Drosophila melanogaster: one gene and its partners. The protein of the gene in region 2 interacts with the protein of the main gene of each other region in a pairwise test. Each region holds a gene or a part of one and is shown on either strand. Other genes may lie near its edges.

Region 1 (7,137 bases), 6.2 Mb from region 2:
TCTGAGTGACATCATCGTAATCGAATAGTGCATGCGTCTTGATCAGGGCAATGTCATTATGGTACATGGGGCTGTCGAAGTTGCAGTGCATGACGATATCCTCCACGGAGTATATCCAGCCCTCCGATCCCCAGTGATTATAGGTGGTGGTCACCACCTGCACGTTGTTCTTTCGCAATCCAGCCAGGCAACTAGCCGCGGTGATGACCCACTGATCGTGGATAATGGAGCCGGCACAAAAGTGGTTACTTAAAAGAGTTGCATAATTCACTATTTAGACTTCAAAATAAAATGTTACTTAAGACACTAAAAAAATATATTGCTTAAAAAAATAGTATAATTTCTGTGGTAATACGTTAGTAATTGTTACCAATAGGGAAACTAGGATAACATAAATAAGGATAAGTTAATTACCCATAGGCGTTTTGGAGCGAGACTAGATAGGGTGCCGCCAGGACATCGGATTCTTCTCCTCCGACGATTCGGGAGCTAAATTTATTCGCGGTTTCGGATTTTTCTGAAGTGAAGGCCCGACGGCGTAAACTTGCCTCCGAAAAGGATAACGCCAACAGGACGAGGACGAGTGTAGAAACCGCTCCGGTTTGGTAAGACATCTTGGACGAACAGCTGAAGTTGGACTAATTGCAAAGCAGTGCAGCTAAAAAGAAACTAAGCTCCAATAAACGATATTCAGTATACGATATTAGATATTTGGCGTGATATTAATGAGCCGCCATAAAGGTATTGCAATCTCAATCATGGTCAGCCTGAACAAAACCCACAAATTCTCCCCTCGTAAAAATCCCATATCTTTTTATAAATCAGCAAATCAACACAAATCATGTTGCCAGTACATACACTTGGGTAAAAAATGAAAAATGTTCAGTTACATAAGGTAACAAATTGTTAGATAAGGTTATTTTAATTAAAATCTATGATAAAGGCTATATATGCTTAATTCAGAACGTTAACCAAAAAAAATATTTTTTTAAACACCAACCCTGAAACAAATAATTTTAAGCAAGTAGAACTGAGCTTAAATATCCCATACTTAAAAATACTTTGCCCAGAAATAACTGAGATTCGAAAACGTATTAGTGATAAGAAAAAATATACATTCTTTAATGATTAAATCATATTTAATAGTGCTTTTAAAATATATTTGTCATATTTAAAATCTCTGGCCGCATGATGAGCCGCATTTCTCTCAGTGCACAGATACGAGGTACCCATGACTAGGCGATCGTACATCCATTCATGGTGGTGCGGATCCAATCGTGGTAGAAGGCAGTACGCGCATACACATCCTAGTGGATAATAATAGGTGGCAATAAATACATATATTACTCTTCGATATAGGCGGAATACTTACCGGATAGCCACGTCCGCATGGCACACCCCAATTACCGATGCCTACCAAGCGCTGCTGCTCATCGATAAGCGGTCCGCCAGTGTCGCCATGGCAGGCGCCCTGGCCCGCGTCCATTTGGACACACACATGACCCAGGTCCACATCATCTTGGTTCTGCAACTTCTCCCGGCATGCGTCCACCGGCAGATATGTGCCGGATGCCTCCTGCAGATAGCGACCATAGGTGCCCATGGCCTCGGAGCTGCCCCAACCGGCAAAGGTCAACTTATCCCCCTCTTCCAATTCATCGATATCCGCCAAGGTTATATTCTTTGTCACATCGTTGAACTCGATTTTGGACGACAACTGCAGCAGGGCTATGTCATTGTGATACAGCGGCTTGTCGAAGTTGCAGTGCACATGGATCTGGCTCACAGTGTAGTACGGAGCATACAGATCCCACCAGTCCACAGTTCCAGTCACAACCAGCAGATTTAATGGCCTCAATCCCGCCACGCAACTGGCCGCTGTGAGCACCCAAGTTTCGTCGAGTATGATGGCTCCGCACAAGTGATACGAGTATGCATTTTGGATACTTGCTATCCAGGGCCAGTTGCCCTCGGCGGCGGTGGTGCCACCGATCACACGACCTTGGGGCACAGCTTCGGTGGAGCGATGCCTCTCGATATTGGCCAAACCCGGAAGTGGTTCTCCTCGCATCCTCATGGCTTCCGTTGGCCCCTGAAGAGCCAGCAGAGTCAGACCCAGCAGCACCGTAAGATTCCACCTATTTGTCATGGTTGGTATATGCGCGGTACAATCGAAACTAAAACCCCTCAGCCGGGCCACCTTAAAATTACACTTCATAGGACGGATCTTATCGCCCAGTTTGGTCGAATTTTGGATAATAGGCAGTTTATGGGTCTGGACACGGCGATAAGTGGCATATGCGGCATTGCGGCCGTGGTCATTATGAGCTGACTCGCTAGTTCGACCGGTGCATTTATAGAGTGCCGAGATTTGCCGTGTCACACAAGTCCATGGGTTTATGAGCAACCAGGTCCAATTGGACGTTCCGCCTTTACCGATTGGGTTTTATCCTTGCAGCCGTAAAGATACCTGACTGCGAATGGCCATAAAGATTGCTGGCCAGTGGTCAGTTGGCCGCGAAAAAACCCAAGTGAGCCAACTCCCGATGTGCGATAAAATAGGTTTATATGGAATGCATATAAAAACGCTCAGTTGGGTCATACAATTTTCCATTGCTGGTCATTAATTCGCGCTGTCCGGCATTGTCCCTCGTCTCGGAAATATTTGTTTTGGATGATGGCTGTCCGTTTGTCTCTGATTTGGCTGCTTCTGCTGGGCACTTCCATTGACGTCACGCGCGGAAAGCGTTTGGACAATCGTAAACTTTTGGACAATCGCATTGTGGGTGGCCAGGAGGCGGAGGACGGAGTGGCACCTTATCAGGTGTCCATTCAGACCATCTGGAAAACCCACATCTGCAGCGGAGTCATTCTCAACGAACAGTGGATCCTCACCGCGGGTCATTGTGCACTGGACTTTAGCATCGAGGATCTAAGGATTATAGTGGGCACGAATGATCGTCTGGAGCCAGGACAGACCTTATTTCCGGACGAGGCCCTAGTCCATTGCTTGTACGACATACCCTATGTCTACAATAATGACATAGCGTTGATCCATGTCAACGAGTCGATTATATTCAATGATCGCACCCAGATCGTTGAGTTGAGCCGAGAGCAACCTCCGGCGGGTTCCACGGTCACTCTGACGGGATGGGGTGCTCCGGAAAGTAGCTATCCCACAGTGCAATATCTGCAGACCCTCAACCTGACCATCATCGCACACGAGGAGTGCAGAGAGAGATGGGACTTTCACGATGGCATCGACATCGGTCATATTTGCACCTTTACGCGAGAGGGCGAGGGTGCCTGCTCCGGAGACTCCGGTGGTCCACTGATGTGGGAGGGCAAACTGGTGGGCCTGGTCAACTGGGGCAGAGCCTGCGGCGTCGGCATGCCAGACATGTAAGATGGTGTATATCCACTCCCCTTTAAAGGTGGGAATTAATCAATTGTCAATCCTTTTAGGTATGCCAACACGGTTTACTATCAGGATTGGATCCGCAGGACTCATTCAGGATGCAAGAATCGTGTTAACTAAAAGAGATACAAGGAGAGAGCGATTAACTGGCATCATTATGATGTATTTTTGTATAAATATGTGAAATAAATGTATTGACTAAAGCAACGCTGATAACTTTTACCCTTACTCATGTGGTCATTGCCTGCTTTTAGATGGGCAATCACAATTTTATGGAACTGTTTGCTAACATGTTATGGCATAAGATAATGTCATGCTAGGGCTGAAAAATTGTTTGTTATATGTGAAATTATTTGGCCTAATCTAATGTAATAAATAGTGATAATTACTTTTAATGAATTCAAATGGATCATCTCGTAAACTAAGAATACTGTTGTTGTTCAATTCGTTGCATTTCCGTTATCAAAATGTATAGTCCAGATTATAGATCGGCTTTTATTTAGACTTTTAGGTATGCATTAAAAAAAATTAGTAAATTTTGAAGATGGTAAAGAGAAATTTCCTGATTGCAAACAACCGCTGGCGGCATCTCCAAAAATGAGATGATTTTAAAAGATTCAAGATTTTTTGAAACCTTATTAAAAATATATTCAATTAGAATATGATATTGGAAAATACGACTTGCTTGATCAAATCAATATATCATTTAGATATTTGACGTGGATGGTAATAGATGCAACCCTCGGTTTTACAAAGTCCAGTGGTAATATCCAGCAAGTGACCATTCTAGATATTATTCTTATCCAATGACGGCGCTGACATTGATTGCCCTGTCACAAAATGATAATCAGTGTGCGTCTATATCTTTTTACGATATCAGGCTTTATGACATAGATACTTGGGGCGGAAACATTGATTTCGATTTACGATAAAACCCCAAGACTTACGATAAAACGTTCGAGTATAAAAGAAAAATCACTGCCCATATGCAGGCTTAATTGTCGCATTGAAAGTCAAGCACCCACCACCATTATGGTTCGACTGGGTGTTGTGCAGATCCTGGTGATCCTGCTAGCTTGTACTTGCTATAAGCCCATTAGCGCCGTGCGTTTGGCGCAGCTTAGTGAGGATCAGCTGGAGTGGATCTCGAAGGCGGAAGGAGTCAACTTCCAGAATCGCGTAATCAATGGCGAAGATGTGCAGTTGGGCGAGGCCAAGTACCAGATATCGTTGCAGGGAATGTACGGAGGTCACATATGTGGCGGATGCATCATCGACGAACGCCATGTCCTGACGGCAGCCCACTGCGTATATGGCTATAACCCCACCTATCTGCGAGTGATCACAGGAACTGTGGAGTACGAAAAGCCGGATGCCGTGTATTTCGTGGAGGAGCATTGGATTCACTGCAACTACAACAGTCCCGACTACCACAATGATATTGCCTTGATTCGGCTAAACGATACGATCAAGTTCAATGAGTACACTCAACCGGCTGAGCTGCCCACAGCTCCGGTGGCAAATGGGACGCAGTTGCTCCTCACGGGCTGGGGCTCAACGGAACTTTGGGGCGATACGCCCGATATACTGCAAAAGGCTTATCTCACGCATGTCGTGTACTCGACTTGCCAGGAGATAATGAACAACGATCCGTCGAACGGTCCATGTCATATCTGCACACTGACGACTGGTGGACAAGGAGCCTGCCATGGCGATTCCGGCGGTCCGCTGACGCACAACGGAGTACTCTACGGTCTGGTCAATTGGGGTTATCCCTGTGCACTTGGAGTTCCCGATAGTCACGCCAACGTGTACTATTATCTGGAATGGATCAGAAGCATGATCTCGGGACCATGTAGCAACTGTCACTGCTATGCCAGTAACTATCCCAGCCTGTGATCCAAGGGGACGACGATATGCTGAGCAAGATATACAATTTTGATTAGGTAAGAATGTACGGTGACTAACTTGTGGAAATAAAATCAATGGCAGATTAACAATAAGAAAATCGTGTTAGTATTCCTTCTCAGATAGTCAGGCAATATAGATTTCTATATCTACTTTTGAGTGTTTACCCATATTTTATGGTTTATTATTAATTTCTATTTCATAACTATAATTTCATATATGTAAGTAAATTTGACCTTTAATTTATGAGTCTATATTTTCTTGTTAATTGTGTTTTCAAATTAAGCCTGGATAAGCGAAGGCGTTCAAAAAAAAAGTGGAGTTATTTTTAGATATGGTTTTTTTAATTCCACTTGATAATAAACCACATTTCAAAAGGCCACTTTTATAATAGTCTTAATTTTTCTTTATTTTCCTCTGAAATCTTTCTAACAATTTACTAATTCAATTTGGTAAGTAAATTAGTAGTAGCATTTGTTGTTGCCACTGAGCTTGCTGCGAATCCAGTCGAGGTAGTAGTACACATTGGCCTGCACATCGGGCAGTCCGACACCGCATGGTCGTCCCCAATTGACCACACCCACCAATTGGCCATTGCTCACCAGCGGACCACCGGAATCGCCGTGACAGGCGCCCTCACCCTCGCGCGAAAAGGTGCAGATGTGACCCACACCCATGCTGCTGGTTCGGTTGAAGGTCTCATAGCACTCATCCAGAGGAACAAGGCCCACGGTCAGCTTGTGCAGGTCCTCCATGGAACTCCCGTAGGCCACATCGGAGCCCCAGCCCGTGAGGACGATCTCTTCGCCGAGTTGAACCGGTCTAGTTGGCAAAGCGATCGGCTGTGTCAGCTCATTGAAGGTGATGTTCTCGGTAAGCTTCACCAGGGCGATGTCGTTATGCATGTAAGGCTGGTCGTACATACAGTGTTTGTGGATCTCGGCGGTGTAGTAGATCGCTCCGGGCTCTGCCCACTTATTGGTGCCCGTGATCACATTGACCAGGGCGGGAATGAAATTTTCCACGCAGTGTCCAGCAGTTATGATCCAGTTTTCGTTTAGGATGGCACCACCGCAATTATGGGAGCCCACTATGGGTTGCAGGGACACCTGGTATGGAGCAAATCCGATCTCAGCCTCCTCGCCACCCTTTATCCTGCCAGATTGACCCGCAGGAAAGGGGCCAACTATGCGCTTTGATTCACAGGGATTTGGGGGCTTCACCGCTAGGAGAATTAAAAGGCTTAGACGGAGCAGCTTCATCTCGAAGGTTTGACCAAGTACTGAACACTAAACGTTAACTTCTTCGCTATCAAAACTTTATTAACTGGCCCCTGCTTATCGAGGCAATTTTATCGTTGCCTTATAAATTAGTATTTTTTATGGTGCACTATGATAGTCACAGTAAACGGAACCTTTAGGATTGGTTGGAGCTGAACCCAGTGCACTTTGAATTCCCACTCATGACATTGCGTATCCAATCACGATAGAAATAAACACTGGCATGAACGTCCTGAAAACAGAAAAAAAATTCTGATTCGGTTCTTAGAATCTTTATGTTTTCCAAGAGGCATGGAAAAGTATTCTTATGAAATTCACCTACAAAATTCTGCTGTTCATTGCCTTAACAAAAACGATTTCCGATCACTTACCGGAACTCCTGTTGCGCAGGGCCATCCCCAGTTGACCAGTCCCACCAGGTAACCATTGCTGACCAGAGGTCCACCGGAATCTCCATGGCAGGCACCTTCTCCCAGCCGCGAAAAAGTGCAAATGTGACCCACATCACAATCTTCATCGTTGCTCAGCAGG
Region 2 (8,556 bases):
TGCACGGACCAGCTGCTGTTCTCACGCACACCTGTATAGTGGCAAATCACAACAGAGAGGCGCTTGTACAGTCAAGGGCGCCCAATTATGTCAGATTTAAAATTCTTTAAGTCATTTATAAAAAATTCAATAAACCACTTATTGTTTTAAAGGTATACTTCATAATAAAATGGAGATAGCTGTTTGCCTTTTAAACACTATACTTCGGAATATACCATTACTGGGAATCTTATTTCTGGATAATTAAAAAAAAAAACCTATATAAACCCCTTTGTGGCCACCACTGTGCTGCGAGCGCCCTCTCACCTCTCTCTCATTTAGACCCGACTTGCGCTTGGCCCAATATTACGGCTTTTTCGGCACGCCAACTGAGTGTGCCTCTCTTCGCACATGCCCCCACCGTCTACACTCCCCTCTCGCGCGATGCGTTTGGGTTGGCATTTCCTGAAACAAATGCCAGTACTCAAGAATCGTGAAGAACGAAAAGAAATTCAATTGCAATTGCAACGGGCGGCAATTGAAAGCTTATCGATGAATGAAAGGCGAGCGCCGAAGGCAATTAGAGGAATTTGCGAGCAAGAATCTCGAAATTGCGGTGAAGCGGAGGGGGAGGAAGCCCCATAAAATGGCCGCTGTGCTTTGTTAACTGATGGAGTTCTTTGTTTATGCGAATGGGGCCGCAACGAAAGTCCAGCTGACCATCGGGCGGACAATGGATTGCAAACCGCTGACAAAACAGAAAAAAGCACATTTCTATTTGTGGAGTACATGATGGGTTGTGCAGAAAACCATCTTTGTTAATATTAGATTACTATATCTAAGCTAAATCTTTTCGGTAATACGATCTATATGTACACATGTAAACAATACCCAGAATCATAAACTAAGAGCCTAACGTTAAATGTAGGGTTTTGAAACACTTTCTCTGCGTGTCTACAGCTGAGTCATGGATGATGCAAGCCGAGCTTTGAGATGTGCATTCCAGGAAGCGGCAAGTTATGCTCGACTGGCACTTACCGCGTATTTTGGTGCGCTTGTTGACGTTCATCCAGATCTCGCCGCGAATTATGTCGCCCGCAAAGTAAACCCGATCCGCGCTGTCCAGCGTGATTCGCAGCCGCTCGCTTTCCATTCCGCTGGCGTTGATGGTGATGACTCCTCCGGTTTGGCCACTTTCCTCACGCACTTATCCAAAAATAATTTCGTCATCAAAATGCCGCCACATACAAACGTACATGGATGCACTGCAGCACCACGGCCCGCACCACCCTAAAGTATATGCAGAATAGTAGCACCACCACACGCACTCGCCTCACGATTTACGATTTGATGTTACTACACACACCGCGCGGTGAGTGGGAGCTTTTTCGCGCTGATTGTGGCCAGTTCTTGGGGAATCTCGATATCCATCAATTCGCAATGGCCCACAAGTGTTGGTCGCACACCCCGGGCTAATTTAATTCGATTGCTGTCGTCCGCTGGCGGGTTGAATAATTAAATTTCTTATAAATTTACGAGATCCGTGAGTTACGCTTTTTTGTTGTAGCTGCAGCTCTCTTTCGATAACCGTGAGAGCGGCGGTCCGATAGCACGAACAGCTGTTGCGCGGTGCTGCCACCGGGCGCCTGGCCAGCTGAAGCGGTTAATTCGCAGACTTTTTAATCGGTATTTTCAAATGTGTCTAATTTAAAGTTTAAGTTCTAAACAGCGTTTCTTAAATGCACTGTTTTCAGTTGTAATGCAAGAGTTCAGAAATGCTTGGTAGTAATGGTCTTTTTTTATGGTTTGATGTTTGAAAAGAGAAGAAGAAACTCTCTGTTTGAATATCGCCAATAATTTAAGTTGATATATTTCACTACGAATAATAATTACCAAATATTTTACTGTATAGATAACAAAACGCTCAGCTTAGATGTCAGCGATGATTGAAGCATACATACATATTTTATTAAGATTAAACTTTAGTTGGCTTAGCAGCATAATGCTCCATATAGTATTTCGTGTGCTTCCCCGTTCTGTCCTTCGCTTCTTCTTCTTGTAACCTCTCGCGCACAAAAGTTTGCTTCTCGGTTCTTCGGTCTCACCAAAGACTTTTGAGAATTCAGTATTAAGCCAGAGCTGCTCGCGTTCGGAGCTTGCGAGCTGAGTCGCCGGAACCCTCGAATACATCGAATCCCTACCTCTTCCACCAACTATCAATAAAACAAACAAAGGAACTTGATAGCGCGATACCACCCGACACCGTCGCCAAGGAGCCAATTCTGGACAGGATGAGCAGCAAGGTGAACTTCGTCTTCGACAGCAATCCTTTGGGGCTCTATCAAGCCGGTCAGCTTATCTCCGGCACGGCGGAACTGATTACGGAGCGCCCCAAGACGATTCGATGTAAGTGACACCGACATGCGGAAGAAGACGCACTACATACATATGTATTCTAATGGACTCGAAACCATGACGTCATCCCCCTCCATCACCATTCAAATTCTGAATCCCATACCGTTTTACCATCCACTAATAAATAAATATCCACTTAATATTGTTGGTGCTTTGTTATCCGCTGGTTTAATGTTATTGTTGCCGGTAGATATGCTTGAAAGATGTGTATTGTATATACAAATGTACATATATGTATGTATACATAAAGTTTATATACAACACACATGTGGCCGCTTGGCTGGCTGGCGGATATCTGATAGCGGCGTAAAAACTAGTTTTGTTTTGAAATTGCGTACGCTGTTTGTATTATTAGATATTTGATTCAGTTACTGGTCAGCCCGTTCGTGCCAATACCTTTAAATTGTAGTGTATAGGTAGCATTTTGGGTCAATTAGGCGTAATTCATGCAGATATACATATATATATAAATTTATACAAATCCCATTAGCAAGCTAAGTGGACCCTAGCCATCGGTTCAAATTCAAATAATCAAATATTTCCTAGGGTATCAAATAGTCGAGCCTTAGCAGCGCTTTAATTTGATGGTGAACTTTATTAGGTAGCATTCGTTTTTTTTATGCTTCTGATTAAATTATTGTTAGTTCATTAACAAAGACAGTTGTTTGTAGCTGAGCAATTTTCCAATACAATTCTACATCCGAAACACACAAAAGGTCCAAGGTCAATGGCAATTAAACTAAATGCATAATTGAATTACATACCCGGCAGTACAGACAAATTAATCCAATTGCAGCGATCTTTATAACCATAAATGGATACGGCGAGACGCGTTGGCAGGAAAGCGAGGAGCGAGTGGGAGAGGATGGGAAGACGACCAAGTCCCTGGTGACCCACACCACCACCGAGGTCTACTACAGCACTGACCAGCCGGTTTACGGCCAGGCCGGTGGCTCGCAGCTGGAGTTGCCCACCGGCAAGTACGTCTTTCCCTTCCGGGCTACCATTCCGCCCAATGCACCCACCTCATTCAATGGTGCTCATGGTCAGATTAAGCACGAGGTTACCCTAACCATCGATCGCGCGGTTCGCTACAACAACACATTTAAGCAGTGCTTCACGGTGATCCTGCCACATGATCTTAATAGGCGGCTCGAGTATAAGGTATGTAGTCTTGGTTGTTCTTCCAAACTGAATAACCTTATGAAGCGCACTTCCCTTAGGAACCCCTCCAACGCTTGGAGTCGAAGAGCTTCTGGTGGGGCTCCATTTTCGGTGCCCACAAGCCGATGATCATGGACGTGAGCACCTCTTATTCTGCCTACGTCCCCGGCCAGAAGATTCATTTCCATCTGGTGTTGGACAACCAGTCGGATGTCCAATGTATGGACGTGAAGGTGCGTCTGATCAAGAACGTCTCATATAGAGCCAACTCATCGGGCGCAAAGGAGCAGTTGAAGGTAACCGAATCTCGGGTGGCGGACAAGCACTGCGGTGAGGTGCTGAAGCACAACAAGGCCAAGTTCGATGAGTTCCTCACGGTGCCGCCAACTACTCCATCCACGCAAAGCGAAAAGGATCCCATTCGAGTTAGCTACACATTGCGATTCATCGCCAAGACCTTCAAGCTGCACGGTGGTGGCGACTTGGTCATGGACTTTCCAATAACCATTGGCACAGTGCCGCTGCTGGGAAGTGCTGATGACAAGGGGCCCGGGGCGGAGAAGTCCCAGCCCAGTGGTGCCTCTCATCCAGGTGGGTTTTGCACTAAAGAAAGCATAATCGAAAGTGTTATTAATCGACGTTTCTCCGGCTTAGGCTCACCCAACTTTCAGGAGGACGTCAGCGATGAGCAATTCGAGTCCAACACCTTTAAGCCAAGATATCCCGTCTATCCATTTGATGGGAAGCCTGGAACCAATGGCTCAAACGGGGCAGCTAATTTTCCCAGTCTTTATCCCAAGGCAGAGGAGGCGCATCCTGCTACGCCTGTGAAATTCACACCAAATCCTGTGTCGCCAGCCGCACAAAAATCGCCACCATATACGACCAACACACCTGTTGCTTCTCCGCCAGGCGGTAATTTTGAGGTGCTTGGATTCAGTATACCACCAGACTATAAACCCACGCCTAGTGCTCCAGCCGCCTCTTCCACTGGCGGCATTGGGTGGAAATAGGGACCATAACTTAACCATTTTGTATTCTACACCTTAAGGCATTTTTAAATATACAAGAAAGCCCGCATAAGTGGCAACGCTGTGCATGTGACAGCTATATTAATATCGATAGTTAGTATCATTTTAATCCTAAATGGCCTTTTATTAACTCGAGTATAAACATAGTGATCTGGTTTCAGGAATTATGCTTACTATTAAAAAATATTTATGTTCCCAATTAAGAAAACCCTAAAACTGAATTTTAGCTTCTAGCTATTTTCTTACTATTGTTGTCAACCACGATAGCCGATAGTTGCCATCGCTGTTCGCTAAAAGCTCATCGCCAGCGGCTCGAACAGCTGATTCCGTGCACTTGGCGACGTAATTTAGTTTGTTTTGTTGTTGTTGCGTAGAGGTTTGAAGCAGCGCGTCTTGAATTCGGAAAACCAGTTTGTGGAAGTGGGAAGCGGCCAACTTGGACAGCGGCAGCAGGGGATTGACACAACTGCAACGGCATCTCAACGGCGGCGCTATTACAAGTCTGGCGAAAAGAAAGTTTTGACGCAATCCACGGGCCGCCGCCTGTAATGAAGAAGCGTCGGCGCCGCAGTCACTGCTGCACTCTGCCCGCGAACGGACGCATCTGCTCCAGGTGAGCTCAGATTGTAGTGCGCTGCTCTGGACATTCAGCAACATCATCATCATCACCATCGAGCGTGTTGCCAATGCCTTTGTCTCTTTATCTGAGCAGCAGCATCGGAATTTTGGGAACTGGACAACGGTCGCCGAGACATCGAACAACAAAAGCGGAAAAAAGTGAAATCGCTGATAAACCCGAATACCAACCGAGCTATTGTCAATCAATGAACGGCCGTTTGAACCTGGAGTCAACTTGGGAGCTCTGCGAATTGGCGGGCAATTGGCCATAACCGACCGAGATAATAGTGAAGTAATCGCAGAGACATACGCACGCTCCGTGGAGCATGATACTTGTAAGTCTCATCCTCAGATGAATTCCACTCCTACTATTTCCCAATTCCTGTCTACGCACTTGTACACAACAATTTGTCCATCGACTTTGATGAATGTGTGTAAACAAGTCGAAGTTTGCGCCCTGCCGCACCTCTAAAACGTTTTGAATGAAAGCTACAGGCAAGCTTTGCTAAGTCGGATTTTCGAAAACTCCATCTTTGATACCAGTAAAACCTAGCATATTTCATTTTTATCAAGAAACAATCTTAAGCTTTCTTTTTAACAGCATCTACCTTGAATTTCACAAGAGTCAAGTAAATTACAAGTAACCTTCAAAACAAATTCTTTATGATAATATATAAGCTATACCTATTAGATCCAGCCTCATAGAAGTTGCTAAGTCCGAGTTAATAGTTGCATCTACATAGTTCCGACTGTAATAACGTCTCCACCTGTCTGCGTTTCTTTATTTTCAGAAATGCCATTGAAAAGTTGGCAGTCGCAGCAATAAAAGTGAAATCCGCACGAGCAAACATACGCACACGAAAAGCAAAACCAAAGGTAGCTCCGACGCAGACATGGCGGTAACCACAGGCTCCACCAGTGAGGCGACCACAACCACAACTCCCGTTCCGCGACGCAAGCACAGTACGCGGGAGCAGCTGCATCAAATGCTGGCCGGTGGACTTTCGGCGGCCATTACGCGCTCCACCTGCCAGCCGCTGGACGTGCTAAAGATCCGCTTCCAGCTGCAGGTGGAGCCGCTGGGCAAGAACGCCGCCAAGGAGGGACCAGGAGCCCTTACCTCCAAATACACATCCATCGGACAGGCGGTGAAAACCATATACCGCGAGGAGGGAATGTTGGCCTTCTGGAAGGGACACAATCCTGCCCAAGTGCTGAGCATAATGTACGGCATTTGTCAGTTCTGGACGTACGAGCAGCTCAGCCTGATGGCCAAACAGACCAGCTATCTGGCGGATCATCAGCATCTATCGAACTTCCTGTGCGGCGCTGCGGCCGGAGGAGCAGCAGTGATCATATCCACGCCGCTGGACGTCATCCGCACTCGTCTGATTGCCCAGGACACCAGCAAGGGATACAGGAATGCAACAAGGGCTGTGTCGGCGATTGTCCGCCAGGAGGGACCTCGCGGCATGTACCGCGGTCTGTCCTCCGCCCTGCTGCAAATAACGCCGCTGATGGGCACCAACTTTATGGCTTACCGCCTGTTCAGCGACTGGGCGTGTGCCTTCTTGGAGGTGAGCGATCGCAGCCAATTGCCCACGTGGACGCTGCTGGGATTGGGCGCCTCCTCGGGCATGCTATCCAAGACGATCGTGTATCCCTTCGATTTGATCAAAAAGCGACTGCAAATCCAGGGCTTCGAGTCGAATCGCCAGACCTTCGGACAGACACTGCAGTGCCACGGAGTCTGGGACTGTTTGCGGCTGACCGTGCGCCAAGAGGGCGTTAGGGGCTTGTACAAGGGCGTGGCCCCCACACTCCTTAAGTCAAGCATGACGACGGCCCTGTACTTCAGCATTTACGATAAGCTCAAGCAGGTGCGCTTCTAGGTCGGACTTGGAGTCGGGGTTAATGGCGTCTGAAAGCAATTGTGCGCCCAAACGGAATCTACACTGTATTTTCTATTTTTATATATATTTACCGCAGCGCGTAAATAATATTAAGACTTAGGCTAACTCTGTTGATTAGTTTTCGGTTGTGCGTATCTTTTCTGGGGGTTCTGTTTATCATAGACCAATTGACTTGGTCAGCGCTTTAGTACACACACGAATAGTTGGCGCACCAGTTAAGTTATAGATTGTATGTGCTAGGTTGTAGTTCATTATTCGGCAGAGCACCTCTATTCACAGACACATTCAAATTTTTATTTATCTTTTGTTTGATTCGCAAACGAAACGACTGCGCTGGCAGTTCATTTGATATTTAATTAATATTATTACACCTAAGTATTCAGGGAATTTAATAAATTTGACTACATCACAACAGTTTAATAACTTTTATTTTTAATGAGTATTGTCCCTGCCTCCTAAGATTTAATTCTTCATATTTTTCTCATAATCTTTAAGCTTAAATGTTTCTTCCAATTGGAATAATTAGTTTTATGAACATGTTATTGAGTTGCAGCTGTTAAACTCCAAACATAATCAATGTTAAGAAAAGCTCGCTGCTGTGAGCTTTTTTGGTTGTGAAATTTAAACGGTGATGCATGCAGTGTATAAAAGGAAATGTATCTTTGGGAACAACAATACAGTTACTTCAGCGATTTCCCGTCCGGAGAGAAAATGGCTCTTGTGAAGACGTACACCATCGACAATAACTCCATTCCATGGATTCTGTGGCTACCGCCATTAACGGAAGTGGATAGGAAATCGCCGGGTGGGAGGTTCACATTTGATGGGCCAAAGGTGGTGGCGTTTCACTTTGTTAAGAACCGGCACGGAGACACGTTGGACAAGTGGATAAGTCTGCTCGATGAGTTGGCACAGGAGTACGCCGGTCGTATATTGTTCGGATTGCGTGACATCTCCAACATCGGGGAGTTCAATCCGAACCTAAATCCCGACGACTTTGGCAGCTACCGGAAGGGATTGCCACCGCGAATCTATGGCAAGGACTGTGAGGGCCGAGTGTACGATATGCACAAGCTGGTCAACGCCAAATACCTGAGGGAGTTTTGCGACCAGTTGCTGGCGGATCAACTCTTCCGTGCCGTAGTCCTGGGCGCCACTGCCTCACTGGACTCCAAGCCAATGAATTACTTTGAGTTGCGGGAAGAGAGCAGCAGCGATATGCTGGTGATGCTATATGATCCTGCCTGCTACTACTGGCCCATTCAGAAGAGGATGCTGCGCAAGCTGATCCGCCTGCTGGCCAGCGAGGATCTGCCCATTGTGATCGTAGACAAGGCGAATAACTACCTGGGCGTGGGCTTCACCCGTTGGCTGCAGATGGTCAACTGTCACGGCTCCACCATCTTCACATCGCCACGTCGCGATGGCTGGGATAT
Region 3 (6,967 bases), on a different chromosome or scaffold from region 2:
CAGTTCTGTCAACACAGACTTTAGATTTAGTGTTTTGCGTAATGGTTATTTCCTGGGAAGATACACTTTGAGAAATAAGCACTTCATATGTTCCTTCATTGTGACCTTGACAAGGTTATACGAAATTTACATGCATTTCTAATAGAGGGTTTGTCCCCAATATATAATCAAATACATAAAAATGATAAGCAAATATTTTTTATTAAAACTTTTAAAAATCGATAACCGCTTAAAGAAATTTCTACAGTTGGCGATCAGTCAATCAGAACGCAGAAATGAGTATAAAACATATCGAAAATTTTTTAAATGAGAAGGTGTCTACAAAAGAGCACAAGATATTTTGTGACGTCAATGGGTATACTAAGAGAACGCAAGAGAAAGAGATTGTCATAAATATACAAAAAGAACTCAGTAAATAATTGTTGTGTCTGTGAAAAGAAAAACATCAGTATCATTTTTCTCTGCCTCAGCAACAATTGTAATTGGAAATGGAACCTATACTGATAGAAAAATCTCAGTGGCCAGAGCTCAGAGATTTGTACGCGAATGATAGAACTAATCTCACGGGATTCGACTTAATCGAGTACTTTTTAAATTACATACCCTTATCCACAACCGAATCCATAAAGATATATACAACTGATACGGATTGGAGAACACATGGCAGTTATATACTAATTGTAAGCACATATATAGTTCACATACACTAGGTATGTGAAATATAACTTTAGATCTGCATTTCAGCATTATTTGGAGAACAAGGCCTATATTTATATGAATACCATTAAGGGAACCCCAGAAGATCTTGGCAAATTGTTGAACTCTCTAAAACTTAAAGTGTTTCATTTAATCTGTGGCTATGAAGAACGATTCAAACCATTAGTTGAGGCATATTGGCTGAATTTGGGTCAAGATTTGATTAATCTTGAACACCAGGGCGCTATTGTTTACCACCTGCCAAGCACCGAAATTCCCAGTTGGAAACCAAGGTAAAGTAAAATAATAATATTCAGTAAAATCTTGTTACAAATTTCTAACCCTTTAGTTTGAGTACCTCTTGCAAAGTGGCTTATATCACATCAAATCATGCCGAATTGGTCGACAAACATTGGGCTTATCGTTCAGCTGATTCTATAACTATGATAAGGGGTTTTATGGAGAACAATCTCGCTGTTGGTGTTTTTGATAACCAAGGAGAACCCCTAGCGTGGTGTCTAAGGTAAGAAAAGAAGATGGGTTTGATAATATTCCTGAAACAATCTGTATTTTCTAGATCTCCTCATGGTAGTTTGAGTAACCTACACGTTTTATCCTCACATCGTCGAATGGGATTGGGTTCTTTGGCAGTGCGCTTTATGGCTAATGAAATCAAGTTAAAGGGCTCAGAAGTTCTGGCCACAGTTGTTCCCGAAAACGAGGGTTCGCAAAAAATGTTCGAGAAACTAGGATTCAACAATATCAACAAACTCTACTGGGCAGTGATACCGTGCACTTTATAAATAAAGAATAAATACAGATTACAAACGTCTACTTTTATTATGAGTTTCGATTTACTTGTTTGCTCTCTTTGTAGTGCACAGCTTTTCTCTTATCTCATTTTGTTTTTTTTTTTTTTTGTTTCAAGTTTAGTCTGCGTTCAGCTTTTGTTGCGAAAGGTTGTCGTCATGTCGACGGAGAATTCGTTGGTTGAAATTCCACGCGGCGAATGGACTAAACTGCGAGATTTGTATGTGGCCAGAGATACGGATCCCCAAGGCTATCCGTGCATAAATAATTTCATTAAGTGGGTGGAGATAGACCCGCAATTGAAGGTCAATTTCCTATCGTTGAATGGCGACTGGCAGAGCGATGGAACCTTTGTTCTAACGGTAAGTTATGCGATGTGAAATGCAAAAGTTCGGTGATTGAATGTTGTCTAATCATCTCAGCTACGTTCGGATACTCATATGAACCACATTTACTTCAACACACTGAGCGAAAATTTGGATCGAGTGACGAAAGCGTTAGAATGCCTCAAGTCCATTGAGAATGAATACGATTTCTTTGGGTTTTCTACGCGATTGAAACCTGTGGTGGAGTATATTGGCAACAAATATTATGCCAACAAGAAGCTGCACACTGTGGATACCGTTTGGTACGCGGCCAGCAAAGAACTCGTAGATACATTTAACATTCAGTGAGTTTGTACTTTATACTCTATAACTCTCAATGAAACGAATAATTTCAATTTAGGGTTCCTCCGGGCTTAAGTCTACAGCACTTGACCATCGAAGATGCCGAAATCATCAATGAAAACTGGCCACATAATAAACCCGGCTCTATAGACTTTGTGAGAAGTTTAATTAAATATAATATTAATTTGGGTGCTTATGACGACAAGGGAAAGTTGGTTGCCTGGTGTCTGCGGTAAGCCATCGAACTGTATATAAATGTATATAAAAACTTATTAATTAATTAACTTTCCTGTTTAGATTGCCGATTGGATCCCTGGGTCTGCTGCAGGTTCTGGAGTCACATAAACGCCTTGGTCTCGGCAGCTTGCTGGTGAAGTCGATGGCTAAGAAGATTTCCGCAGCGGGAGATCAAGTTTTGGCGCCAGTAGTAACGAAGAACACCCCCTCGAGGAGCATGTTCGAGAAACTGGGTTTCCGTGCTATAGACAATACATACTGGGCTGCCTAGCAACTGAGAAGAAGCCAAAAACTAACATAAATATTATTAAAATAAATATAGTGTAGGAAATGATTGGTTTTTTAATAATAAAGAAGAGTGAATCAGCTCATTCAATTATAGCTGAGCACCCATGAATTTGAGCTTGAATTAAATTGAGATGGATTGTAATGTAAATTTAATATAATATATTGGATAAAATTGGTGAATATAAAATGATATAATCTTGAAATGTTAATGATTTCAAAGGAAGTTATTTACGCTTCCTTTGCACGTTTCATTTTTAATATTTTTTATAATGAAACTTGTGCTTAAATTGTCAAGTTAAATTTCCGGATAATATTTACTTTAATGGTCGATGGTTTTTATTATGATCAGTTTACCATAAACTGAAGCTGAAACTAACTAACTTAGAGTTAATAACTTACATGATAGATAAAAAACTTACACAACTACCATTAACTATTTTTGGTAACTGGCATTACAGAAGCAAAAATGAGTCATCGAATCTAAAATAACTCATAAAGCAAGTAACGCTTAAATATAATTTACGACGGGCTTGTACGACGGCATTATCTATTACCAATAAAACCCATCTCATATTTGTTTAGTTCTGATGGCCCAACAGATGAGCACAAATCTTATCCTAGCGCTGGGAAATCCCACCACGACTCCATCACCGTGTCAATGTGCCGCGAACTTTCCAATGACGAGACCGAGAATACGCACCAAACATAATGACTATAGTATATAGCTAATAAATATTTAAACTATTTACTCACCGGTTGCGAGAGAATATCAGTATGCACGTCACGGGTTTGAGATACATACGTACGTACATACATGCATAGATACAAATGGATGGGAGAGGGCTGCCATGGATTTCCGCAACAAAGTTCGCAGAATGCTGATATGAATGGGCGGGGGGCAGTACATGAGTACGTGAGAAAGTACCGATCGATGAAGATCAATAACAAGTGCAGACACGGGTCAGCCATGTAAACAAAGCCGGGGTATAACCAGTGACTCGTCGACGAAACCTCTCCCAGATCCAAGCTCGCCAAGATCCGAGAGCAGCTGGGGATGCAGAGCGCGAGAGATCGGGGACTTGAAGGAGCGTTTTTGCTTGATAACAAGTTTCCGATTCCAGTTTTATAAAGATGCGCGCTCAGCGCCAATCATTCAGTCTGGCTTTAACAACTCGCACAGCCACATCGCGTTTGCCTCTAAAAAAAAAAAAAAAAATATATATATATATATATATATATATAAAGTTCGTTCTGTGTGTTGCGTTCGAGATTAACAAAAAGAAAATTACAAAATGTGGCGCTTGCTTTTGGCACTTTTGCTCGTGAGTTCGGTGTGCTGTGAATCGGAACTATTTCGTGATGACCTGAGGACCCCGGAAACGATGGCCTACATCAATGGACTGATGCAGCGGCGGCATCAGATGCAACAGGAGGCGCAGCAGCACATTCAGGCGATACCGCCTGCGGTGCCCCTTCAATCGCCCGGCCTTGTGAACGGCCTTGGCAACCAGAATGACCCTGCGTTGAATCGCATATCCGGCACTTCGGTGAAACCTTCCAACCTTCCGGCTGCCTACTCCAACGGCTATGTGGATCTGGCCACCTCTGATCGGATTGCGAACAGTGTGCTGAACTTTGCCAACATTCTGGGCCAGCATTTGGCCAACGGTAAAACCCAGATATACTCTCCCCTGAGCATTGTACACTCGCTGGCTCTGCTGCTCCTGGGCGCCAAGGGTCGCAGTTACGAGGAGTTGTCCACGGTCTTCGATATTCCGGACACGTCCAGGCTGCACGAACAGTTCGGCCTGATGCTGCAGGATCTGCAACAGCCCACCAGGGAGGCGATCTCCGCAGGACGACCGCTGACCGATTGGCGGGCGAGCAGCGCGATGAGATCCAATCGACGGGCCCAGCGACCCGGTGCTCATGAGGTGCACCTGGCCAATGGACTGTTCACACAGACCGGCTACACACTCAATCCCGACTACAGGTGAGCCGAGCAGCGGATAATTATCCGGCTGCAAACTGGAACTATAGCGATATCTGGTTGGGAATGGGTGCTGGGAAATGCCAAACGATTAGCGATCGCCTTGAGGTTTTACACCGTGAAAAACTGAAGGCCATGCGGGCTAAAGTGATCTCCTTTTCTGAATGCCAAGTGAGGGAAACAGGTTCATTGTACCAGCAAAATGATCTCACCCATTATCATCAAGCGTTTAGTGTCTCTTGATGGTGGTGCTCCAAAAGGAAGTATTTATTTTATATTCGAAGATAATATACAACGAGAAAATATTAGAATATATTTTTCTGTGTAGAAATGAGCGTGTAATTCCACTTATATTTATGAATCTTTAAAGCCCAAGCTTTCATTGAGAAATATATATGTACGTACGTACGTATAAAGTTTAGAATATAAATGGGAACCATTGACAAACAAATTTAGTAAGAACTTTTAGTGCGATTGTTTTTATGTAGAGAACTTGAATAAAATTAAATCGGAATTGGAATTGGAATTATCAGTTAATCAAATATTTAATTAGAAACCTTAGGTCAAATAGTAGGTACAATGAATTGCCAAAAATTTGGCAAATAAAAAGCACTGATAAGAATGGATTAACTTAAAAACATAACTAAGACATTTAATTATTTATTTATTCTTCAATTATAGCTGATCAAACATTGCAAAAAAAGCGGAAAAAAACTACTTTCCCAAGTTATTATTTAGCTCACCAGATATTGCAATTCCAACCCATCCCCAGTTCCCCAATACTATCGCTCCACTTTGCACAACGTTGTTGGCATACTAATAGCTGCGCCTTGTTGATTTATTACTCATGAGCTCCACTTTTGTGCAATTCCAGACGGGTGATCGTCGAGGTCTACGCCTCGGATCTGCAGATTCAGGATTTCGAGGGCAGTCCGGCGACAGCACGATACAATATCAATGCTTATGTGGCGCAGCACACAAAGAATCACATCGAGAACATCATCGCCAGCGATATTCCGCAGACCACCAGGATGATTCTGGCCAACGCATTGTACTTTAAGGCATTCTGGGAAACGGACTTTATAGAGTCAGCCACACGTCCGGATAACTTCTATCCGAATGGCGAGGGAACGGAGCCGGTGATGAGGGTGCAGATGATGGCCACCGGTGGTGCATATCCGTATCACGAGGATCACGAGCTGGGCTGCAAGATCATTGGACTGCCGTACAGGGGAAATCTGAGCACCATGTACATCATCCAGCCGTTTAAGTCGTCGGTGAGGGAGCTAATGGCACTGCAGAAACGTCTGACGGCGGATAAGATCGAGAGCATGATCAGCCGAATGTACAGACGGGCCGCTCTGGTGGCATTCCCAAAGATGCATCTTACGGAGTCGGTGAACTTGAAGACAGTCATGCAGCGAATGGGGCTGGGCGGCATCTTTAGCGCGGTGCAGAATGATCTCTCGCTCATCGCCACCAACGAGGCCACGAGGACGAATGCGCTGGGCGGCAACAGCCTGCAGAATCTGGAGGCACAGCGCAGAGCCGGAACGGGTGGAGCACGTTCCGATCTGGTGGTGGATGACATTGTTCACAAAGTGGACTTCACCGTCAACGAGCAGGGCACGGAGGCGGCGGCGTCTTCGGTCACATACCTCAAGAAATCCGGTCCCGATGTCCTCTTCCGCGGAGACACTCCATTCATGGTCCTTGTGCGCCACGATCCCACGAAACTGGTGCTCTTCTACGGACTCATAAATGAGCCCCCGGCGGCCGCTTAGTTTCTAGGATCATAAGTTATTAAGCTTTAGCACCTAAGTTCGTTGACTTTATAGTTAGGAAACTAATAAATCATTCACAATGATGAAAAATAAATTAAAACGTAAATTATGAAAATTTGTATTGGTTTTTGTTGCTGTTGAATCTTTTCACATTATCCTATGTACCGTACAGCAGGCAGATTAAACAATGCCCACAAATGTTCAAGGCGCTAAGTTTCTACAAATCATTTAAATTTAAAAAACAACCGCCAATCAACCGGTTGCGGTTAAAAGCTCTGTTAAACGGAGATGCTGATTATTAGCGGGTAACATGTTTCGTTTAACGGAACAGCTGTTCATTTAGTCGGCAGTTATCGCTTAAGCCGCATGTTATCGATATCTTCAATTATTTTGTATTCTTTTTCGCAATAAAAAGTGTATACTTTAGAAATAAAGCTTTAAATAAGTTTAAATTGATTCGAAATGATAGCCCTACCCGACACAGATAGCGAGGA
Region 4 (8,501 bases), on a different chromosome or scaffold from region 2:
AGCGGCAACCAAGGAGCAAGAAGCCTTGAGGGATATTCTCCGGCAGCGGCATCTTACGTTTCGGGCTTGTCCAGGGACTTTTTGATATCCAGAGAACTTTCCCAAAGATCAGGAGAATTCCTGACAGCTGCTGCAAAGATGGTATCCCAAATGGGAGCAAGCGAACTCCGCTGGCTCCCCATATCCAGGACCAAAGACAAACCATCGAGCGCAGGAGAAGCAGAAGCTAAAACATTAGTCAGAGAAGGTGAATCACAAGGATCGCCTGGTAAAGTTGCCAAAAGTGCCTTAGGTGACCCCCAGCCGCAGCGCACCGAAGACCAAGAAAATGCCTTTCGGCGCATCGAGGATGTGCACAACTATGCCAAGTTGCAGGACTGCAGCAGCGACACTGACGACGAGGACGACGAAGAGGAAGATCTCGATGAAGAGGAGGATGATGAGGAGGAGGCGGAGATCCAAGTGCAGTTGCCTGTGCAGCAGGAGGTCACGCGCATTCGTCGCGAGGCCGCCGAAGAGCATGTGGACGTGGACGTGGTCACAGTGCCGCAGCAGGAGCAGGATCAGTATAGCCATCAAGTAGAGCCGCGACAGCTTCAGCAGGATGAGACAGCGGATAACACACGGCCGGAGCATCATGCCCGCCGACCCATGAATGCCTTCCTCATATTCTGCAAGAGACATCGCGGTATCGTCAAGGAGCGTTACAAAACTTTGGAGAACCGGTGGGTTTTTTTCCAGCTGCACCCATTTAGGTTCCGGAAAGATTACTCACTCGTTGTTTACCTCTTTTAGTGCCATTACAAAGATACTTGGCGACTGGTGGGCCGCTCTCGACGAGCAGGAGAAACACTGCTTCACGGATCTGGCACAGCAGGTGGGGATCATACAATATTTACCCGTGCACATACTTCACTTCTGCTGAACATGCCTGCTGGGCTTTGAGTTCTATAAGTTTAGCAAGCTAATTAATTTTCTTTTGTAGAACAAGGACGCCTTCTTCAATGCTAATCCAAACTTCAAGTGGTACAAACTGCCAGCTCCGCCGCTGCGAACGCTAGCTACCCGTCCCAGCAACGCGTCTGCTGGCTTGCTCATACCCAGTGAAGATCAGCCACAGCAGCAGGTGCCGACTTCACTGCAAGTGCAGTGGGCAGAGCGAGGGGAGATGCCGCGTGCTATGCTGCGCCCCAACTACTTTAAACTGGCAGACGAAACGCAGATGGGCGAGCTAAGCTCCCTACTGCAAGTTCAAGTACAAGAAAAGGACTTCGCCCTACAGCAGGTGCTCAGCGAGACCAGCCAGTTTCTATCTGCCCATATGCCAGCTGGCAATACAAATGGGAATGGCAATAAGCGCTCCTTGCAGGACAACAACTCGAGCAACTCCAGCGAGGAGGAGGCGGCCAGTGGTAGCTCGCCAAACAAGAAGGTCAAGTCATCACGCTCCTGCAAGGGCAAGATTTACCAGGAATTGGTCAATTCCGGTCAATTGGCGGCCATAGCTAAGAAGAGCAAAGCTCGCTTGCCGCCGGCAGGTAACATGGGTGGAAACTTTGTGGACATCCCCTTGGATGCGGGACCCAATACACCGCCCGTTTCGCCACCGGAACGTCAGGGTAGCAGTCCGGATTCCATGCAAAAACATATAAGAAGCGTTTCCGAGTCAAGCAGCAGTGGTTTCTTTGATCTCGAGGAGAAAATCAAAGAGCTGCCAGCCCTCAGCTTGGACGCTTACCTGCAGCGCAAACGTAGCACCAAAAAGAAGAAGAAGTTTAGCGGCACCAAGAAACAGAGGAATTCGAACAGCACAAGTGGTGCATCAGCAACTTCGAATGTGGCAGCAGCAGATGCTGCGGCGAAAGGTGCTGTCCCATTATCTAGCGAGCAACACGTGAGGATCAAGCAGCAGCAACTGCAGGCTGTGGGAAGCCAGCGACGAAAGGCGCGCAAGGAAAGTATCACCCGGCGCGATGTTAGTGCCATTGAACAGGAGGTGGCCTCAATTCTGCCCCTGACCATCAATGGCAGCTACTACTTTAACCAGAGCGGTGCTCCCAAGGCGGTGAATGCCCCTGTAACCTCGTCGTCGGCCTCGCCACCGCTCTCTTCGAACTCCTCGTCGTCATCCTCCTCGCTCTCCTCGCAGGCGGCCTTCGACGTGACCTCCTCTACCTCAGATCTACTCATTCTGGCCGAAGTGGCCGCCAACCGCACTGAGCTGACCAAGTCCAACTAGCGCCTGCAACACCAATAACATCAGCAGCACCACTGGCTGTCCAGCATTACCACCAAATAGTTAGCCCAAATCAAAATAGCGAACTGCAAGATTGTCATACTTGGGGAAGACATATTCACATATGTATATCCTGTTGCAATAATTTGAAATTATGTTTAGATATTTAAACTATTCCCTGTTTACCTTATTATATAGTTTTTAGGAAAGCAAAAGAGCATGTCCTTAGCAGTTATTCATATCATCATTCATTACGTCAGAGCTGAGGAATAATACTTTATATTTTATTTACATACATATATAGATAGGTTTTACATGTTTTTCGGGCTATGTTGCACACATATCCAAAATATTCAGTTCATATCCGCACAACTGTGCATTAATATTCAATTGTTTTAACATTGTCGCATCAATCGAAAACCTTAAACTGAATTTGTCGCCCTTATGATAGTCTTGCGGTCAAGTTAAGCACCCATTTTCGATACTTACGATGCTTAAAGCTATTTGCTGGTGGTGCCCAATGGAGATGGAAAAACAGACATTCGTTGATCTACAATTTAGTCAATAATATTATGTAATAACAGAAAATCAAGCCAGCCGAAGAGAATGCGAGAAGAGAGTCGCGGCGATAGCGAATTATGTATTGTTTGTTATGACGGCGGTAGGAGGAGACCCGAGTCAGTTTCACACGCATATATCTATGTATATATTTGGTATTTAAATAACTTGTTCTGTTTTTTTCTTGTTAAGTTTCTCCTTTTTCGGGCCGCGTTCGCTAAGCAGCAAAATCAACAGCAGCGGTCGCTCATTAAATGTTAATTATTATTATTTCTAATATGTAGTCGTAACTTATTGCTATATTTGTCGAAACGCAAACAATTTGCAAACAAAAATATATTCATTTTAAAATGGAAACTTGGAATTTTCATTTTGAAGAGCCAATTTTGCAATATTTATCTATGAAACGCCAGTAAGTAATCAGTATACGGGAACAATTTGGTATCTATGTACGCATACATTGTGTATATTAAAAAATATGGAGTGCATATAGTTCTTGTAGTTTTTTTTTACGTTAACATGATTTCTTTGATGCCATAAATGTTTCTTAACTTTCTTACCTTTTTTCTATAAACAATTTTAAAGTAAAGTAAATTGAGACGTAAAAGGTTTTTTTTTGTTAGTGTCACAAGCCGAATCGCTTTGTTTTTAATTTTAATCAGTTTAAAAGATTTTATACGAAGTAATATGTTTGAAATTTGTAACCGAAAAAATCGCTTAAAACAAACCCAAAGGACATTTTTAGAGATCGCTGGTGTGTAGATTTGTGAGACGGCGATAACTATCGATATTTATATTATATTTATATTGCGAGCTGAAAGTAACAAATAGTTCGGATACTCAATTTTGTAACTAACAATAATTCAAACTTTTCTAAAATCCCTTCTTTCGGCACACAGCAAAAGGAAATATTTGGCTTGGGAGGGTCCGATTAGAAAGATTTAGAAAACTTATATTCATTTGGTGGCCTTATATTTGCGTAAATAGTGCAATTAAAATAAATCTGTTTGATACTTTCTTGAGTCCACGATAAGCGTTCTTTACACAGAGAAACATTTTGAATAATTTTCGTACCTGAAACTAAATTTCAAATTTTGCGAGCGTATATTTCGTATCGATATATTTCTCCAGTGATCTGGGTGTAAAGCAAGCCTGTTTGCGAGGCCAGTGTTGCAAGACGCCGGTTGTCAAGAAAGAGACAGGGAGAGAGATGAATAGAAGGAATGGTTCGTTTTTGTTGGACGCTGGTGTGGGAGTCCATTGATAAGATAAGAGCACCGAAGATTCCCGGCCAACCGCCAGGGGCCTAGATAAGCGTGCCGATTTTTATTGGGTAATAAGAGTTGACAAGATGGCGATTAATTTTCGATCGGGTTTCTTTTTTTCGCTCACGTGCAGCCCAAACAGCTGCTGGGGGTGGCCCATCCCCTTTCTGCCCCTCACCGACTGGTCCAACAATTTCTCTCAAGCTTTTTTGGACGAGCTTTCGCCGTGTTGGCCTTAATTTCGCTTCATGTGTTTCAGTTTATTCGCGAATTCAGACCCTTGCGCGTGCTCACGCTCTCTGTTGCAGCAGCAAAAACCAAAAACCCTCGAAAAGAACAACATTGACTCGAAAAAACCGAAAAATAATTATAATTGTACTTGTACTTGTGTGTCTTTTGTGAGGTGAGCAAATGCGCTGACAGAAACGGGAACTTTTCTACTTTTCTCGCAGGCTGCTGTGAGAAGTTTGTCAAACAAACACGAGTTTTTCCGAAAAACTATATTTGGCAATTCTACAAATTCTACAAAATTGTATTGTTTACCCTTATTATTGTTTTTGGGTCGTTGCTGGTTATGTATCGTAGTTTGTTTTTTTTGAAGTGACAAAACAACCGTTAAAGCAAAATTTATATCGAGCAAATAGAGGAAACCCACAAACCCAAGCGAAATTTTGCAGTGTACATGTGAGTGGCTGCGTTGTATTCGTATCATAAAAGGATCTCTACAAAGCGAGGTAGAGAGCAGTAAGCAGTGTTATATAATAGGTACAATTCGCCGCATAGCAACAAATAAGAAAAATGAAGAAAAAAAAACAAAAAAAAAAAAACCATTCAGATGAATTCGCAATTTAAGTACGGCAGCTCCCTGTTTCCCTTTAACCAAGGCGGCCAGAGCGAGACAGAACTTGATATAGCCCATAATGAAGTGTAATGAAATCTGTGCAATGAAACCCGCCAAGTTTTTTCGATTGATTGCAGCCTCCCGTCTGGCGATTATTTAGCGGGCTGCTAATTAATAAATAAAATGAAAAAGGGAAAAGGGGTTAATGGGTGGAAAACTGAGAACGAAAATTGGGGAGAATCAAGGAGAGCCGCAATTAACACCAATTAGTGTGTGCTTTCGGCGCATTTCAATTAAATCAAAACAAATTCCAAATCAAAATCAAAATCAGAAGCAAACGGGGCTGGCATGCCTGTGACGTCACACAGTCGTAGTTACAATTACGGTACAATCTCGGTTACATTTACAGTTACATAAACGGGAGCGAAGCGGCGAAAAGGATTTTCTCGCCCTCGGGTCCTTCCTCGTTTCGCTTCGTTGAATTTGCCGTCGCTTAACAACTCGCCCCATTTTCACGCGTCTTCGTCGCATTTGGTTTCGTGCTTTTGCGGCGTATACAACGCTCAAAGCGTAATAGAATAAATAATAAGAACGAAGTAAGAAGAAAACCCAAAAGACACATAATAGCGAAAGATAGATTTCTGCCCAGAAATTGACTTTTTTAATTGAACATTTCGAAGGTGTACTTGCGTACGTGTGATTGTGTTGTGCTGTTTTTTTCGGCTTCGCTCTCCCTCGCCGCCTCACGTTTTTCGCATTTGTTGTATAACATTCGGAGCGAGCGAAAGAGGGAGAGCGAAAAGCTCTCCGACAAAATCAGCTGTGATCATTGGCGTTGGCGTGGGGTTTGTGGGGGGGCAAAAAACACAATTAGGCAAAAAGTTGCAATAATAATATGTACACTGATTTTAATATTTTTATAAATTGAATTTTATTATACATTTGTTTATTATTTTTATATTAATTAGATATCATCCAATTACAATTAAATCAATTCTATATGATCTTATTGAAAATCAATGCATATTTTGAAACAGTCGTAATAATTTTGTTATATATGTACCACATTTCCACTTTTTAAAACGTTATTGTAATCGAGTTGAAAACGAGATAACCACCTTTAGTAATCTCTTCGTTACGCCACTGTCTTCCCTCAGATTCGTAGTGATTTGTAGAGATAATAGTGAAATTACCTCTGCTTTCCATTGTTTTCTTTTTGCAGCAACAACCGAGATTGGAGTGCGTTTCAATAACCGTCTCAAAAGCCGAAGAGCAGAAAGCGTAAATAAACCGCAGAATCCCTTGTAATGGCTCTACTCCGTTCGCTGAGCGCCCAACGAACAGCCATCAGTTTGGTCTACGGCCGTAATAGCAGCAAGTCGAGCAATTCCGTGGCCGTCGCCGCCTGCCGGAGTTTCCATCAGCGCGGCAGCGGGAGCACCAGCATCGCCGGAGAAGGAGCAGCATCGGAGTCCACGAGAGGAGTCAATGGAGCGCGCTTCCTGCACAGCGGCGACCGGCCGCTGCAGGCCTCCACTCTGGTCCAACCGGAGGTGGTCTCCAGCGAGACGGTGAAGCGATCGATGAAGCAGGAGTCGTCCCAGGAAAAGAACCCCTCGCCCGCTGGCTCGCCGCAGAGGGATCCCCTGGACGTGAGCTTTAATGATCCGATTGCTGCTTTCAAGAGCAAGACCACTGGAGAGCTAATACGCGCCTATCTCGTCTACATGATATGTTCCAGCGAGAAGCTGGTCGAGCACAACATGACGGTGAGTTAATCGGTGTCCCCCACTCCTCCTCTGCCGAGTCCTGCGACCTTTGACCCTTGAATTGGTCCAATCCATCGACTAGCTGAGATCTCTCTCTCTCTCTCTAGCTCTCTGTTTCTGGTTCTGTTTGCTGAGAAATCTGGGGCTCTGTTAGTACATAACCCCTGCTTAATGCTTTCTTAATATTACAATTAAGTAAGTATCGTTTTAGATAGTGACCGATTTCGAAACCATTTGTTTCAACTCTCGAAGTGTGTGCTGACTCTTCGCCTCTTCTGTCCTCTTCTGCTGCTTTCAACTTATTATAATTCATTCATTTATTTTATAAATACTTCCTTTAAAATGCTTTATTTAAATATATTCATGTACATGGATTCTTGGACACTTGAAGAGTAAACAAAAGTTATGAACAGCTAGGGCTATTGAATTCCATGTATGTATAATGTTAAAGTTGTCTGAAACTGAACGTAGAAGAATATTTAATTTTTTTGTTTGCTTCCTTTTTTCTATTCATGAATTTTTTTGTCTTATTCATGAATTTTTTCGATCCTGCCAAGCTTCCATTCGCTTGATTCCGATTTTCCGGGCAACCGAAGCCCGTGTCAGGTGGCTGGCTGCTTTCCTTCCGATTTTCCGCCCTGCTTCCGCTTTTCAATTCACCCGACCCGCAGCGAGTTTTCGTTTGCTCCCCTCGTGTTGATGAATTCCTGGCTAATTGCTTGTTGCATTTGTTGCCACTTTCTGGCAGGTGCTGCAGTCGCACAGAAGATTGAATGAGTGCCTGATTGACGGCAGGAAAAAGGGAAACTTTGGCATGCAAATTGCCGCTGCGATGGCGACCTTGCCCGGTCCGCTATTTGCTCTTAACTCGTGCGTATTTACTCAGCGAGACGTATGGATTGTGTGAACTGTGTAGGACTGCATAGTATATATAGGTCGTTATATAGTCAGGCCCCCGAATGAGCGCCAATCGGAATCGTTGGAAAACCCCTCGCATTTACCCCATTCTCGCTAGCGTGCTTCTATTTAATAGCGTCGGCGATCGTTTGATTGCTTATCGATTACTCAAAGTGCATGCGTCGCCAAGACTGTTACTTATTTATCATTTTTTCGCCCCGCTCGATGCAATTTGCATATATGGGTGGCTAAATGGACGTCACAGAGAATGTCCGCACAGCTCCCTGGGACCGTAGACATCACATCACATGTGGCATTAGTCAGACATCGACTTTGCCCACATCTCTGCACTAGAAAAAAATTGGTAAGCCATTCCTTTACCAGACTCGGCGCAATCTATTTGAAAACATCGTTTGCACAATCGATTTTGAGCGTTCTAGCATTCAATTAGTTATACTTTTGGTACTAAATATAGTGAGAACATTCTCAAGAACTGTTGCACACAGTTCAATAACACAATTGGGGTCTCATATTCGTTTGAATTTGTATCAGAGTGTACTTATTTTTTCGCCATTTCTATTTACAGTAGCGCGTCGATTGCTTTTGGGGACTGAGGAGCGGTGTGGGTCTCGTGATATGTGAGAATGGGTTGGGTATTGATGGGTAAAAAACATGGTTGAGGATGGGGTACTGTGGCAGGTGCCAGGTGCTAGGTGACCGGGGGTGGTGTTGGCTCTGCTGGGGCAGCTTTTTTTGTTTTTTTTGTTTTTTGGGGCCAGAGCTCAACGGCAAACACCTGTCCTCGGTTTCGAATTGTCTGCCAAAGAAAAGTTAAAAGACTAGCAAAGCAAAACATGCCATACCCAAAAAAAATATAATGCGAAACGAAAATTTGTTTTATGTAACCAGTTTTGGTGATGGTGTATTTATATTGT

Evidence for each region.
Region 1: the proteins of Tpc1 (region 2) and CG17475 interact in a two-hybrid assay, tested with the Drosophila melanogaster proteins (one large-scale study listed by BioGRID).
Region 3: the proteins of Tpc1 (region 2) and CG12560 interact in a two-hybrid assay, tested with the Drosophila melanogaster proteins (one large-scale study listed by BioGRID).
Region 4: the proteins of Tpc1 (region 2) and slgA interact in a two-hybrid assay, tested with the Drosophila melanogaster proteins (one large-scale study listed by BioGRID).

Annotation. Positions count from the first base shown.
Region 1 is NT_033777.3:17,127,697-17,134,833, reverse strand, and holds CG17475 (uncharacterized protein), read left to right. Parts: upstream 1-4,407; 5' UTR 4,408-4,450; coding exon 4,451-5,317; 3' UTR 5,318-5,495; downstream 5,496-7,137. Other genes in the region: CG31267 (uncharacterized protein), read right to left, coding at 1-248, 415-614; CG31266 (uncharacterized protein), read right to left, coding at 1,236-1,307, 1,373-2,149; CG4053 (uncharacterized protein), read left to right, coding at 2,678-3,402, 3,466-3,538; CG31265 (uncharacterized protein), read right to left, coding at 5,788-6,588; CG31269 (uncharacterized protein), read right to left, coding at 6,743-6,838, 6,978-7,137.
Region 2 is NT_033777.3:10,878,549-10,887,104, reverse strand, and holds Tpc1 (thiamine pyrophosphate carrier protein 1), read left to right. Parts: upstream 1-4,916; 5' UTR 4,917-5,542; intron 5,543-5,998; 5' UTR 5,999-6,100; coding exon 6,101-7,099; 3' UTR 7,100-7,533; downstream 7,534-8,556. Other genes in the region: leash, read right to left, coding at 1,018-1,132; CG14696 (uncharacterized protein), read left to right, coding at 2,271-2,385, 3,191-3,558, 3,618-4,149, 4,213-4,571; CG14695 (uncharacterized protein), read left to right, coding at 7,832-8,556.
Region 3 is NT_033779.5:8,004,157-8,011,123, reverse strand, and holds CG12560 (uncharacterized protein), read left to right. Parts: upstream 1-1,646; 5' UTR 1,647-1,664; coding exon 1,665-1,868; intron 1,869-1,928; coding exon 1,929-2,176; intron 2,177-2,232; coding exon 2,233-2,406; intron 2,407-2,471; coding exon 2,472-2,682; 3' UTR 2,683-2,803; downstream 2,804-6,967. Other genes in the region: Glyat (glycine N-acyltransferase), read left to right, coding at 489-680, 745-989, 1,046-1,219, 1,274-1,499; Spn28Dc (serpin 28Dc), read left to right, coding at 3,992-4,692, 5,564-6,473; Wwox (WW domain containing oxidoreductase), read left to right, coding at 6,936-6,967.
Region 4 is NC_004354.4:21,369,998-21,378,498, forward strand, and holds the start of slgA (sluggish A), read left to right. Parts: upstream 1-4,314; 5' UTR 4,315-4,743; exon of another isoform or gene 4,744-4,824; intron 4,825-5,424; exon of another isoform or gene 5,425-5,496; intron 5,497-6,112; exon of another isoform or gene 6,113-6,122; 5' UTR 6,123-6,207; coding exon 6,208-6,669; intron 6,670-8,501. Other genes in the region: bbx (bobby sox), read left to right, coding at 1-725, 796-877, 986-2,239. UniProt on the Drosophila melanogaster protein: Converts proline to delta-1-pyrroline-5-carboxylate. Involved in the conversion of proline to glutamate, which functions as a transmitter at neuromuscular junctions. Glutamate deficiency could possibly account for reduced motor activity.